Rattus norvegicus: one gene and its partners. The protein of the gene in region 3 interacts with the protein of the main gene of each other region in a biochemical or structural test. Links are inferred from orthologs where the notes say so. Each region holds a gene or a part of one and is shown on either strand. Other genes may lie near its edges. The genes, in order: Rps6ka1, Scn5a and Ptpn3.

Evidence for each region.
Region 1: the proteins of Ptpn3 (region 3) and Rps6ka1 interact in a test that uses a peptide from one of them, tested with the Homo sapiens proteins (2 studies listed by BioGRID and IntAct). The link is inferred for Rattus norvegicus from reciprocal best matches to the Homo sapiens genes PTPN3 and RPS6KA1.
Region 2: the proteins of Ptpn3 (region 3) and Scn5a form a complex in vitro, tested with the Homo sapiens proteins (2 studies listed by IntAct, with this or other methods). The link is inferred for Rattus norvegicus from reciprocal best matches to the Homo sapiens genes PTPN3 and SCN5A.

Annotation. Positions count from the first base shown.
Region 1 is NC_086023.1:151,381,467-151,385,110, forward strand, and holds part of Rps6ka1 (ribosomal protein S6 kinase alpha-1), read right to left. Parts: intron 2,808-3,644; coding exon 2,727-2,807; intron 2,542-2,726; coding exon 2,462-2,541; intron 848-2,461; coding exon 741-847; intron 1-740. UniProt on the Homo sapiens protein: Serine/threonine-protein kinase that acts downstream of ERK (MAPK1/ERK2 and MAPK3/ERK1) signaling and mediates mitogenic and stress-induced activation of the transcription factors CREB1, ETV1/ER81 and NR4A1/NUR77, regulates translation through RPS6 and EIF4B phosphorylation, and mediates cellular proliferation, survival, and differentiation by modulating mTOR signaling and repressing pro-apoptotic function of BAD and DAPK1.
Region 2 is NC_086026.1:128,147,840-128,151,483, forward strand, and holds part of Scn5a (sodium channel protein type 5 subunit alpha), read right to left. Parts: intron 3,425-3,644; coding exon 3,227-3,424; intron 2,613-3,226; coding exon 2,433-2,612; intron 1,892-2,432; coding exon 1,520-1,891; intron 1-1,519. UniProt on the Homo sapiens protein: Pore-forming subunit of Nav1.5, a voltage-gated sodium (Nav) channel that directly mediates the depolarizing phase of action potentials in excitable membranes.
Region 3 is NC_086023.1:76,818,386-76,822,615, forward strand, and holds the start of Ptpn3 (tyrosine-protein phosphatase non-receptor type 3), read right to left. Parts: upstream 2,837-4,230; 5' UTR 2,748-2,836; exon of another isoform or gene 1,975-2,747; intron 1-1,974.

The DNA of each region.
Region 1 (3,644 bases), about 75 Mb from region 3:
TGGACTCAGCCTCTTTAGCAGCTGGTACCACAGCGGAGAACCATAACGCCTGACTTAGCATGTGTCTGACTCTACCAACAGGATCTATCCCAGCTCTCCAGACAGCACTGGAAGGCAGTTCATTGGCCAACCCCAGAATGAACAGATCAAGAAATGATCTTTAGGGGCTGGGGATTTAGCTCAGTGGTAGAGCGCTTACCTAGGAAGCGCAAGGCCCTGGGTTCGGTCCCCAGCTCCGAAAAAAAGAACCAAAAAAAAAAAAAAAAGAAATGATCTTTAGAGGTGGGCGGTAGTAATACACGCCTTCAGGCCCGGCACTCGGGAGGCAGAGGCAGGCTGGTCTTGGTGAGTTTGAGGCCAGCCAGGTCTACACAGAGAGACCCAGTCTTGAACACCACCCCCTGCCCCCAAAAAAGGGAAAAAAGAAAGAAAATAGAAGCGATCTTTTAACAGCAGCATGTCCGATGTCACACTGTATTAGGAAGGAGGTCTGGGTGGGGCCCACAGCTGCCCTGCGGCCTTTAGTAATAGCCACACTTATCAGGCACTTCCTAATTATCTACGGTGAATTTGCTGCTGGCCAACCACTGCAACCACCCACCCCTCTGACAGCCCCAAAGAGAGATAAGTTCCCGGGGAGTGCCACACACTGAGTGAGTGGCCCAGTCCTAAAAGGCCCAAGGGCTGTCAGTCCCTGCACCCGGGAGAAAGGGCGGGAGTATGGCAGGGGCTTCGCTTACTTCTCAGGCTTGAGGTCTCTGTAAATGATGCCCAAGCTGTGCAGGTGGTCCAGGCCCAGTGCCAGCTCAGCCAGGTAAAACTTCACATCCTCCTCTGTAAACATAACCTGCCACAGGGAAAAAGACACCCATCCACTGGCACACCCTGTTCCCGAGGAGCCGGGCTACTGGGCAGTGGAGCCTCTTGGTGCTTGGGGGGGGGGGGGGGACGTAGGCAATGCAACTTCCTCTAATCTTTCTCTAACACGCAGTCTAATTGTATAGACGGACTGTAATAAAGAGTCAATATCTTTAATACCCGAGTCGCTCGCTGTGCTGGAGTTTGGAAACAGCAAAGAATGGAAACACCCAGGAATAAAAGACTGGAATAAACCGCCTCTCCTGGCGCAGGAGGGGGTGGGGAGGGAGGGGGTAGTGGGATGGTGGAGGGAGGGGTGTGGGGGCAGTTGGGGAGGGGGGAAGGGCAGCTCTGCAGCCATGACATAGAACAAGGAGTTTGCTCTTGTCCTGATGCAGAACAATCTGAGACACACTGACACCCGAGGCCAGGCACAGGACAGTGCGCAGGAATGAATACTTCTCATGTAAGAAAGTAGGGGTAGGGACTCAGAACATGTGTAGGATTTATTTACAGAAGGTTAAAAAAAAAACTAATTAAAAAAATGTTTACTTCCAGGGGGTAGAGGGACTGTGTAGTGATTAAGACTTGACCGTGCATATCTTTCTTTTGAATCATGAAAATGGACTGCCTGATGAACCATTATTTCTCTGAGGAGCCCTGGCTGTCCTAGAACTTGCTCTGTAGACGAGACTGGCCTTGAACTCAGAGATCACCCGGTCTGTCTCCCGAGTGCTGGGATTAAGGGTGTGGCTGCCGCCACCGCCCAGCTGAGCATTAATGTTTTAAATATTGAAAGTAAGTTTCTGAGAAAGTGAGACTCCCGGGTAAAGACTGGCTGCGTGTCTTTGAGCCCATGTGGTGGAAGCAGCGATCTAATTCCTACAAGTTGTCCTCTGGCCTTTATATGCACACCTGTGTGCCCACGAGTCTGTCTGTGTGTCCCCATGTAAAGTTTGCTGTCGGTGCTGTTTCAGAAAGAGTGACCTTTCCCCACACCCAGGCTGAATCAGGTCTTGGTATATTCTAGACAAACTCTCTACCACTGACTGACATCTCAGCCATATATATTTTAGTCACTCAGGCAGGCCTTCATGTTGTAATCCACCTGCCTCAGTCTCCCAAATAACTGTAACTTAAGGCCCGTGCCACAATGCCTGGTCAAGCTTGCTTCTCTCCCATGGTTGGATTGTATTAATGATCTTGGTTTTGAGAAATGACGTTCAGATCCTTTTCTACTGGGCCCTTTGTATTTTTTTCCTGTGGCGGTGGAGGCCTGTATTGTATTTTTTTTTTTTATATCAACAACATGACAAGGACCTTAAAGTCTTTAGCTTCCTGGGTGGGTTTGGACCTCTTCCCCTCGGCCAGCACACAGTCTATCTCAAGCATTTGAGGGATCGGCAACTAGAAATCACAGCAGTGTCACCTTTAGACCCCGTTCATCTTCAGCCCATCCTGAGAGAAATTCTCAGAGGCAGGTGGCATTTCTCGACTGTCAAACAGAGCCGGGAAGTTCCAGGCCGCACCACAATGACAGTGTTCCCCACAGGCCCAGGATGGGACTCTCTGTCAGGTCCCCAGCGGTGGGATGCTAGCTTACCTCCTTTGAGAGTCGTGTGAACAGGTCTCCACCACGCAGAAAGTCCAGAATAAGATAGAGCTTGCCCTCGGTCTGGAAGGCTAAGAGAGGAGGAAGCCAATGTGGGATCAGCTGGGCCAGTGTCAGCTTGTGACAAATGCCTCTACTCTGGGCTCCTTGGCCAGGCCCGTGAGAAGTTGGACAAGGGACAAGGAAGGCAGCAGGCTGTAGGTGAGGGTGGACGTTGAGGGGACGAGTGGCACTTGGGCAGGGTCTGGGGTCTCACCATAGTGCAGTTTCACTACGAAGGGGTGGTTCACGTCAGCTAGGATGTCTCTCTCCATCTTGGTCCGAACACGGTCACGCACTGGCCAGAGGAGAAAAGAAGGCACTAGTAGAACACACCCAACACAGCCTCTCCCCAAAGTCCACCTCTAGGTGAGGTTTCCCTCAGCCTTCCAAGGCCCCCCCAGGGTGCTCTCACCCTTGGGACGTTCAGCTAATTCTTTCCTTCTGGAATGTTCTGGGTCCTCAGGTGGCTCTTGGTCTCCTGGAGACGTCCAGGCATAGTCCTTGTGTCTTGCTCAGTTGTCTAGCCTCACCCACCACCAGACCCTGCAGCACCGTGTACCCCAGGGTGCTTAATTTTCTGAGGTCCCCGGCCTTTGACTCTGTATCCCTTCAGCACACACTTATCAAGCCTCTTTCGATCCTCCACAACAGCTTCTAAGTGTAATATTAAAACGCCATTCTGGGGTCTAAGCAGCCTTCCTTCCCTTGTTTTATTAACTTCCTTTTCCTCCAGTTGCTGGGGAGGATTATTTGAGACAAGCTCTCATGTAGGTCAGGCTTGCCTGGAAGTCATGATGTCGCCAACACTGGCCTTGAATGTCTGATCCTTCTGCTCTACCTCTACCCTGCGTTTCGATGACAAGTCTCGGGAATGTCTGGTTGGGGATGGGGATAAAAAAAGATGCCAAGCAAATTCCGACCACTAGCAGGTTTTTGGTTGACTAAGTTCAGACTTTACGGCCTCGGGGAAGCATCCCTACCCTGCAGGCAAGGCTGGGACCTCTGGGCTCCCACAAGCTGGCACTCCCCATCAAGACGTCAAGACGCATCTTATTGTGTTTTGATTCTTATGTTTCTCTCACTAGATGTGGCAGGGGCCTTGTGTGGTTGTAACTAATCCAGTCACTTTCAA
Region 2 (3,644 bases), on a different chromosome or scaffold from region 3:
AAATTCTATTAGTGCTCCAGCTCTGCCTGCCTGAGGCTGGGGCTCCAGAGCCAGACTGGAAACCAGATACCCCACCCTCCAGGTGACCGGTCCTGAAGGACCCAGATGTCTCCGCAGCCCTTAGGGGTCTTGAAGTTCCTCCCCTTACTCCCTATGTAGGGCTTGGACTCTTGGCGAAGCATCCCAGAAGCCTTTGCTCACGCGTGTCAACAGCACACAGTAACGGTAACCAGTAACATGCTCAAGCGGCCAGATCTGGCCTAAGCCCTGGACCTGTTTCAGCTCCCTTGGTCCCACTACCACCTGCTGACGTACGTGTTAAATCTGATTTCCACTTTGCAGGAAATTGAGGCTCGGATGATTAACCCATATAAAGACCCACAGCTAGTGGCCATGTGGACCGGGCCCTCCACCTTCCTGACCAACATCCCATCGTCCTGTGGTTTCCCCATCGTTGTATCCTGCCTGTGTATGTGTGAGCGACACATTCAGGCCTTTCCTGAGCGGGCTTTTCAGGCACTGGTATGAGGAGTTGCAGGGGCCGACCGGGCAGTCACCAGTGTGCCACGAAAGACCTTCCGTGACTGTGACCACCTTGCTGACAACAGCTCATTTGGCTGCCTCCATTCCAGCCTCACTGCCCTCACGGTGCCATAAGCCAGACAGGCTCTTCCCCAGGCTGTCTGCCCTTTTGCCGTGTGTGGCGCACTTTGGCATGGAAAGCATGGTACTGTGACATTTTTAACAGTGCCGATTATGTTCCTGTATGTCTTTGGCCCTGCCTACACTGGCCACGTTGGGTAATTCTCTCCTATTCTACAGATGAGGCACTTAAAATCCAGAGGAGCAAAAATACGTGCTAAGAGTGGTCACGCTGCGATCTAGAATCCATACCTAGGCTAATGTCCGGAGCTTGGGCACTAACCACTCTACCCACCAGCCCTGCCAGACGTAGAAAACCACCCCGGCTCCTCTTCTTGTGGTTGCTGCTTAAATGCCTCTACTCTTCCTGCTCCCCACTCCCAGCACTTACTATTTTGGCTGGCATGGAGTTACAAGTTAGTAAAGTAGTGGACTGTTTCCTACTCACTGAGTGAGTGCTGTCTAGAATCCTCTGTGGGGCCCCTTTGCGACCTAGCCCTGGTCCCAGGCTTGCCTGGATGTCTTGTTCCTGTCCCGCTGATGCAGAAGGCACATGACACAGCGCACGGGGTCTGGGACACTGCTCTACTGTGGCACCTTGGCACTGACTCTGCATCAGGTGTGAAACCTGACTCCTTCCCTCACTTCTACACCACACATGTTTACATAGACACTTTTCTTTCGGTCTTCTCCTTTTTTCTCTTGACTTGTCTGCCTGCCCAGATGGCACGGAAGCTATAAGGGAAGAGATGTTCTGAGAATGGAGCACACGCTAGATGCTCGATCAACCTTCAGCAGGCAGTTTTGAGGATGGTACCTATCACCAGTTTGGGAGACAGATCTGGGCTGGTGCTCGTAGGCCGGGGGGCTGGCTCACCGTGTCTGGGGGTCGGTCCAGCACCATAGGGCGGAGAAGGTAGCTCCCTGGGGAGGTGGCCTCTGCGTCACCTGCCCCCAGCAAGGAAACCACCCCATTGCAGTCCACGGTGCTGTTCCTTTTGCCATTGAGAACGTAACCGGGAGCTGAGGCTCCAGGGCCGGGCTGTCCTTGGGCGCTGGGATGGCGCAGGGGCCAGGGTACCAGCAGCGATGTGCGGTGGCTCTCACTCTCCCCCGCAGTGCTGTTCTCGTCATCTGCGAAGTCCGCCTCAGAGCCTTGGTCCCGTCTTCGGAACGTGAAAATGCTCCCTCGGCTCGAGCGGGGCCTCATGGATGTCCGGCTGAGCCCATGGGTGAGGCTGAGCTGATTCTGAGGGCACAGGGATGGTGCGTGACCCACAGGGCTCAAACTCTGCTTCGGCCAAACTATCATGGTTGGTGTCAGCCCAGTTCATGTTCTGAGGGCACCGAGGCTTCTGCTGGCCACAAGAGCCTGGGAGGGCTGAGGTAGGGACTTAGGAAGAGATGGGGTGTCCCCTGTATCTTGTGGGATCTCTGCTCATTTCATCCCTGTATCTCTGGGTTTGACTCTGAAGCTGCTCTGGGCCTGGAGGGGGCCTTGGCTGGGCAGGAGAGCTAGGATCAGCACTTGGGCCCCTTTCACCCCACCCCACAAGCCCCCACTCCCAGTGCTGGTCCCCATACTTGAGGACTAGTTCCAGGTAGGAGGAGCATTAACACATAAATCCACCCTAACTCTCCCCCACTTTAAGAATGACTACAGGAAACTGAAAGGGATGGGAGGGGTCCAAGCCTGTCTTTTGTGGAGATTAAGCTTAGGGCTGTGGCCACACGGGGGGCGGGGCCCACCATGATGGGCTCTGCAGAGGCCAGAACCACATCAGGATTACCAATGCTCTGGGACCATCTTCTGAGTCCGACTTGGGGAGCCTGTCATCCCCACCATCCTCTGTCCCCGAAGATAGTCGTTTCCTCCTTTTGCTCTTTCTCTCATGGTTGGTTACTGGGGCCAAAGGAGACATCTCCAGAGAGCTATGGGACACGGTATCCACACCCCTGATGGTGAGAGCCTGGTAAAGGATGGAGAAAGGGTGTTTGGTCATGGAGAAACTCTGGCTAGCTTCAGACCTAGGCGAGCTGCCCCATCAGACTTCACGATTGACTCAGAGTGTGGCCTTCACAGAGTTGATCCCAGGCAGACCCACAATGCTTTGAGAAAGACCAAGAACCTGGAAGGGAGAGTAAGTAGCCAAGTCTGATAGCTACCATGAGGGAACCTGGATGTGGGAGCCAGGGCAGGGCGGCCCATGCTCCTCTTCAGCCTTGGACTTTCCTCACTAGCCTATCGGGAAGTATCCCTCCACCAGAGCAGGCTACACGCATGGACAAGGATCTTGTACCAGGCACGGGCTACGCCCACAGAGGCCACGCTTACCAAGACACTGTCACCTGCACCCCACCCATTCTGTGTTATCTTTGCCTAGAAAACATAGTGGCATAGGAACCAAATTTACCCATTGCACACCACACCAACAGGGCCATCTCGATCAGCAGGCACCGCCTTCCACTCAGAACACACCCCCTGCCAGTCTTACCCAGCATGCACTGCTTTCCACTCAGAATGCACCACCTGCTAGTCTTACCCAGCATGCACCGCACCTCCAGCCACCGCTCGAGAGCTCACCTCGTGTTCCTTCTTGAGCATCTCCATGGCCTCCTGGAAGCGCTTCTCCTTCTCTTCCGTCTCGGCGATGGTGGCTTGGTTTTGCTCCTCGTAGGCCATGGCCACCACAGCCAGGATCAAGTTCACCAGGTAGAAGGAGCCCAGAAAGATGACAAGCATGAAGAAGATCATGTAGATCTTTCCTGCGGACCTCAGGGTCTGGAGGAGCAAGGGGTCAGAAGTCACCCTCACTGAGGGCCCAAGTCATGGTATTTTTAAGTCACCAGTGTGGCTAGGCCAAGGGCTCAGTGTCCTAAAGCCTGGAGGCAGAGAAAAGCGTGTCCCACCTGTGGAAGGTCACTTGCTAACAACCCACAGGAGAGCGTCCCACTTAGAAGGAGGCAGGTACCTCACCTTATGGGGAGACTGTTGTATCTAC
Region 3 (4,230 bases):
GCCAGACTGGGGTACCACCAGCACTCCTGCCTGCCAGAGTCTGAGGAGAGGACAAAGGGCCAGGCTTTGCTTTCCAGGAACTGACTGATGTAGGAAGGTGAGCCCTGTAATTACGGTCAAGAGGAGGACCGCAAATCACCGATCCCTTCCCAACACACCGTTCGCCGGGAACTGAAAGGAAGGAGTATACCACGTCTTAGGGCTTCTCCAGCAAGGTACACCCGTTCTAGAAAACAGTGACTCTTGCACTCACAGACTTGTGACGTAGCTTAGACGGCCACAACAAGTTCTCTTACTTCTGGTCTCTGTTTCTGCTAGCTCACATACGTGTGGTGTGTGTTTCGGGGAGGGCACAACACTGTAATTAAACTTCCAGGTCGCAGCCAACAAAAAGCAGAGCAATTAGCATCCTAGGACTGAGATCAACCTACAACCCCGACTTCTTCCTGGGATAAGATCTGTCTATGACCTTGTCTTGCTGGCAGGGAGTTGAGACCTCAACAAACATATTTAAAGCTACCATACCTTTGCTATGAGATCAGGTAAAATAAAGGTTCGAGCTGAGATCTTGGCCCATCACAGATCTGGCCCTGGATTCCAGGTTGTGGTGGAGGGGTCCCTTGGCTTATTCACCAGTCTTGCCTACCCACAGCCCAGCACCAACCAAACAGAAACATTTGCTCACAGACAAGCCTCAGCTATTCTAAATGCCCTCAGTAACCTCCCATCTGCCATTCGTGTCTAATTTGCATGCACTAGTCTTTGGAGGAGACAAATCACCAGGGACGACACAGATCAATACAGAGTATTAGGCATGTTTTATTCTATTCTAATTCTCAGCAGACTGCTATTCCATTAACTGTATGCTGGGATTTATGGGAACGCTCATAGTCTAGGATATTTAACTTGAATGGCCTGCTCTCTGTCAGAAAATAGCTTACCATTGTTAATGCTTCCAGTTTCCAATACAACTTAGATCTTGATTTAATCATCAAGAAAGACATCTGTGTAAGGCCTTTCTACACCACACATGGCAGTCTTATCCAGAAGAAAAAGCTCTGTCCCCCAGAACCAGAAACCTTGGTTTTCCTCCATTCCAGTCATGCCCAGGGCGGTACAGTTGCCTGCTCAGAGCCTCAATGGGCATGACACTAGTCTCAGAGGGAGACCTGTAAAGCTGAAATGAGATAATCCACATACCCAGCACAGCTCCGCAAGGTGAAGTTTCAATGTTATCAAAAAACCCAAACCAAACCAAAACAAACCAAACCAAAAAAAAAAAAAAAAACCCTCCAGACGAAATCCTCATTGCCCGCCCAGGTTACACAGAAAGCAGAGGCTATCTCAGTTGATTCTACTAAAAGGAGGAAGAGTGGGGAGAGGGCAGGGAGGTGGGGAGGCACTTCAAACCCAGACAATATATAGAGGCATTCCTGGTAGGCAGAGTTGGAATCGGGCTGCTACTGAGCACAGTTCGGCACTCTATAATGTTCAAGGGGCACCCACCACAAAGAATGTTCAAACCGGCTGTGAGACGCCAACAGACCCCGATCCAAGAGCATAAGGTTAATAAGCATGAGAGCTTTGCAACACAGGCATCTTTTTCCCAACCAGGTTTTCCAATTCATCCGCTTCAACATTTGCAACACGAATCAGCTTGCAAAAATAGTTCTTTCTGTAAGTGAGGCCAGAGTGACAACTTCTGGAGTTTCTGAACTCAGACTGCCATTAAACAAGAGGCTCTCAGCTCACCAGCGCTAGTCTCAGGAGACGTCTCCTGGGCACAAACACAGACCCAGAAAATGACTGCCTAATTCTACCTTCCTGACGAAATGGGAGCCACGAGGGTCTCTTAACTGAATTAAAATCACATCACGCCAACTGCTCGCTTGCGTTGTGCCGGGCACGGAGCCAAACACCTCCACACCATTTATCCTACTTAATCCACCACCAGCCAGGCGAGGTGGGCAATATTACTGCCTGCGTGCAGGGGAGGAAATGGAGGATCAGAGATGTTAAACGACTCGTCCAAGGTCACCAACTGGCCAAGGGGAAGAGCCCAACTTGAACCTAGGTCTCGCATTTCCCAACCACAAGTTCCCTGTACCTTCACGGAACACTCAGGTGCCAAGTTATCTTAACTTCTCATGAATTTTTTAAAGGCAACTCTCAAGTTCGTAATAAGTTTAGGAAGCAGCAACCCGGGGCGAGGATTTCCGGGGCGCTCTCTCTCCCCGCACAACGCAGCAGAGTCACCGCAAGTTGTCAGAGAAGCCACCCCGCTCGCCCGCGGAACGAGGAGGATTGGTTTGGCACTGGAGTTCGTGCCAGGCCCAGGAAATGCCATCTTTGCAATCTGGGGCGAATTCGCCCTGAGTGGCTGAACCTCGCGGACTACGGGAAGCTGGATCCCCGCAGCCGTGCGCCCCCTCTGCTGGGCTGCGGATACCTCGGCGCCGAGCCCAGGGCTCGGCCAGACTGGAGCTCACGCCCACGCCCGCGCCGCCGCGTCCAGAATGCCCAGCCTTTTGCCGCCCACGCCCCGCCCCAGCCCCGCCAGGTGATCCCGGCCTGCACCCCCCGGATGCCCGACGTGGCGCGGGGACCCAGGGCTGCCAGCACTCCCACTAGTCCTCCCGCGTGTCCGCCGAGCCCCGGACCGGGTGGGGGTGGGGTGAGCCCCGCGTGTCCGCCATCGCGGCAGCCCGCGCTCCGACCCTCCCCGCGGAGGACCCAGTCTCTCATACCTGCAGCATCCGGGGGCGCCGGGCGCCCAGGTAGGTCGCGCGGGCGGGCGGCGCGGAAGCTCGCTCGCGCCGCGACCTGGCCGCTGTCTGAGCATGCCCAGTGCAGCCCGCGGGCGGCTCCCGCCGGCCCGGCTGTGGCCGCGATGGGCCCGCGCGCGGGGCGGGGGACCCGGGACAGGGGCGGGCCCGGGGCAAGCCAGTTCACGGGTGGTTCACGGGCCTCCGCGGACCACCTGCCGAACTCCCGCACACTTCCAAGTCCCCTGGCTCACGCACACGGCCATTCCCTTTAGCATTTACTGAACACCTACTGTGTGCTTGGCTTTCCGGGATTGCATGCCTAGGAATGGCAAGAGCTTGGCGCACAACGAATCTGAAATGACAGCGAGCCTTGCTCGGTGGTTCCGTGGCTGAGTTGGGGGTTGCGCCGACTCCAGCGGCTCCGTGGCTGAGTTGGGAGTCGCGGGGCTCCTTTGCTGGCCCTAGGACGCCAGGAAGGTTAGCCCTTCCCAAAGCCTTCAGGGCCCCTAGTGGCCGGCGTTCCAGCCGGCCTCTTCCGCCTCCTCCCACACCTGCCTTCCTGCGCTCAGACTGCACCTTCCTCCCCATCACACCCTCTGAACTTGACCCGCCTCGAGACGTTTACACTGCCTTTCCCTCCGGGTAGGACGCCTTTTCCTCTGCTTTGCTGGTGCCCTGCGCCCTCTAATCGTTCAGGTACCTTTCGTACCTTTCCAGCTACCTTTCTAAATTAGCCCTGACCTCTTGCTCCTCTCCAAGTCCTTTATCGCCTTCTAAACAGTATCACTCATCCATTCAACAGTTACTTACGTTCTTCACACTTAATATATAGACAAAATTTCAGTCCCTTGTTGGGAGTTTGGAAGGGAGTTTCTCGAAACAAACAACAGGTCCGTAAACAATGCAGTGTATTAGGTGATAAAATTCTTAAGAACAGGGGAAAGGGGCCAGGCAAGAAAGCTAAGGAGTGGCCCGGTGAGAGCTGGTGGAACAACCAGATCAGGTGACAAATAGCATTCAATCACACAGCTGAAGGAGGAAGCTTTCTCGGGACGAAAAGGCCGGTGTAGAAATGAGCGCAAGCTCTGTGCCTGTGAAACAGAAAGGCGAGCAGAGGGGCAGCTGGAGTCTGTTACCGGCTGTCTTCTGGACTTAGATTCCCCCTTAAGGAGTACCACCCTTCAGTGTCAGCTCGGTGGCTCCGCCTCTCAAGAGACCCAGCCTCTAAAGGACGCTAGGCTTCCAGTTAGAACTAAAAACGTTTTGGTGAATGAATATGTTAACAAAAGGATGGAGAGATGGTTAAGACCTGGGTGCTAGATATCCTGAGAACCTTTTGTTCCCATGTCACCATGAGACCCTCCGCCGTGCCTGACGTCCCAGTCCCTGTCCCAAGGTAGCGCACCACTGCCAGCGCTGCTTGAACGCCGCGTCCGGGGAATTCCGACAGAGCCGGGAGTCC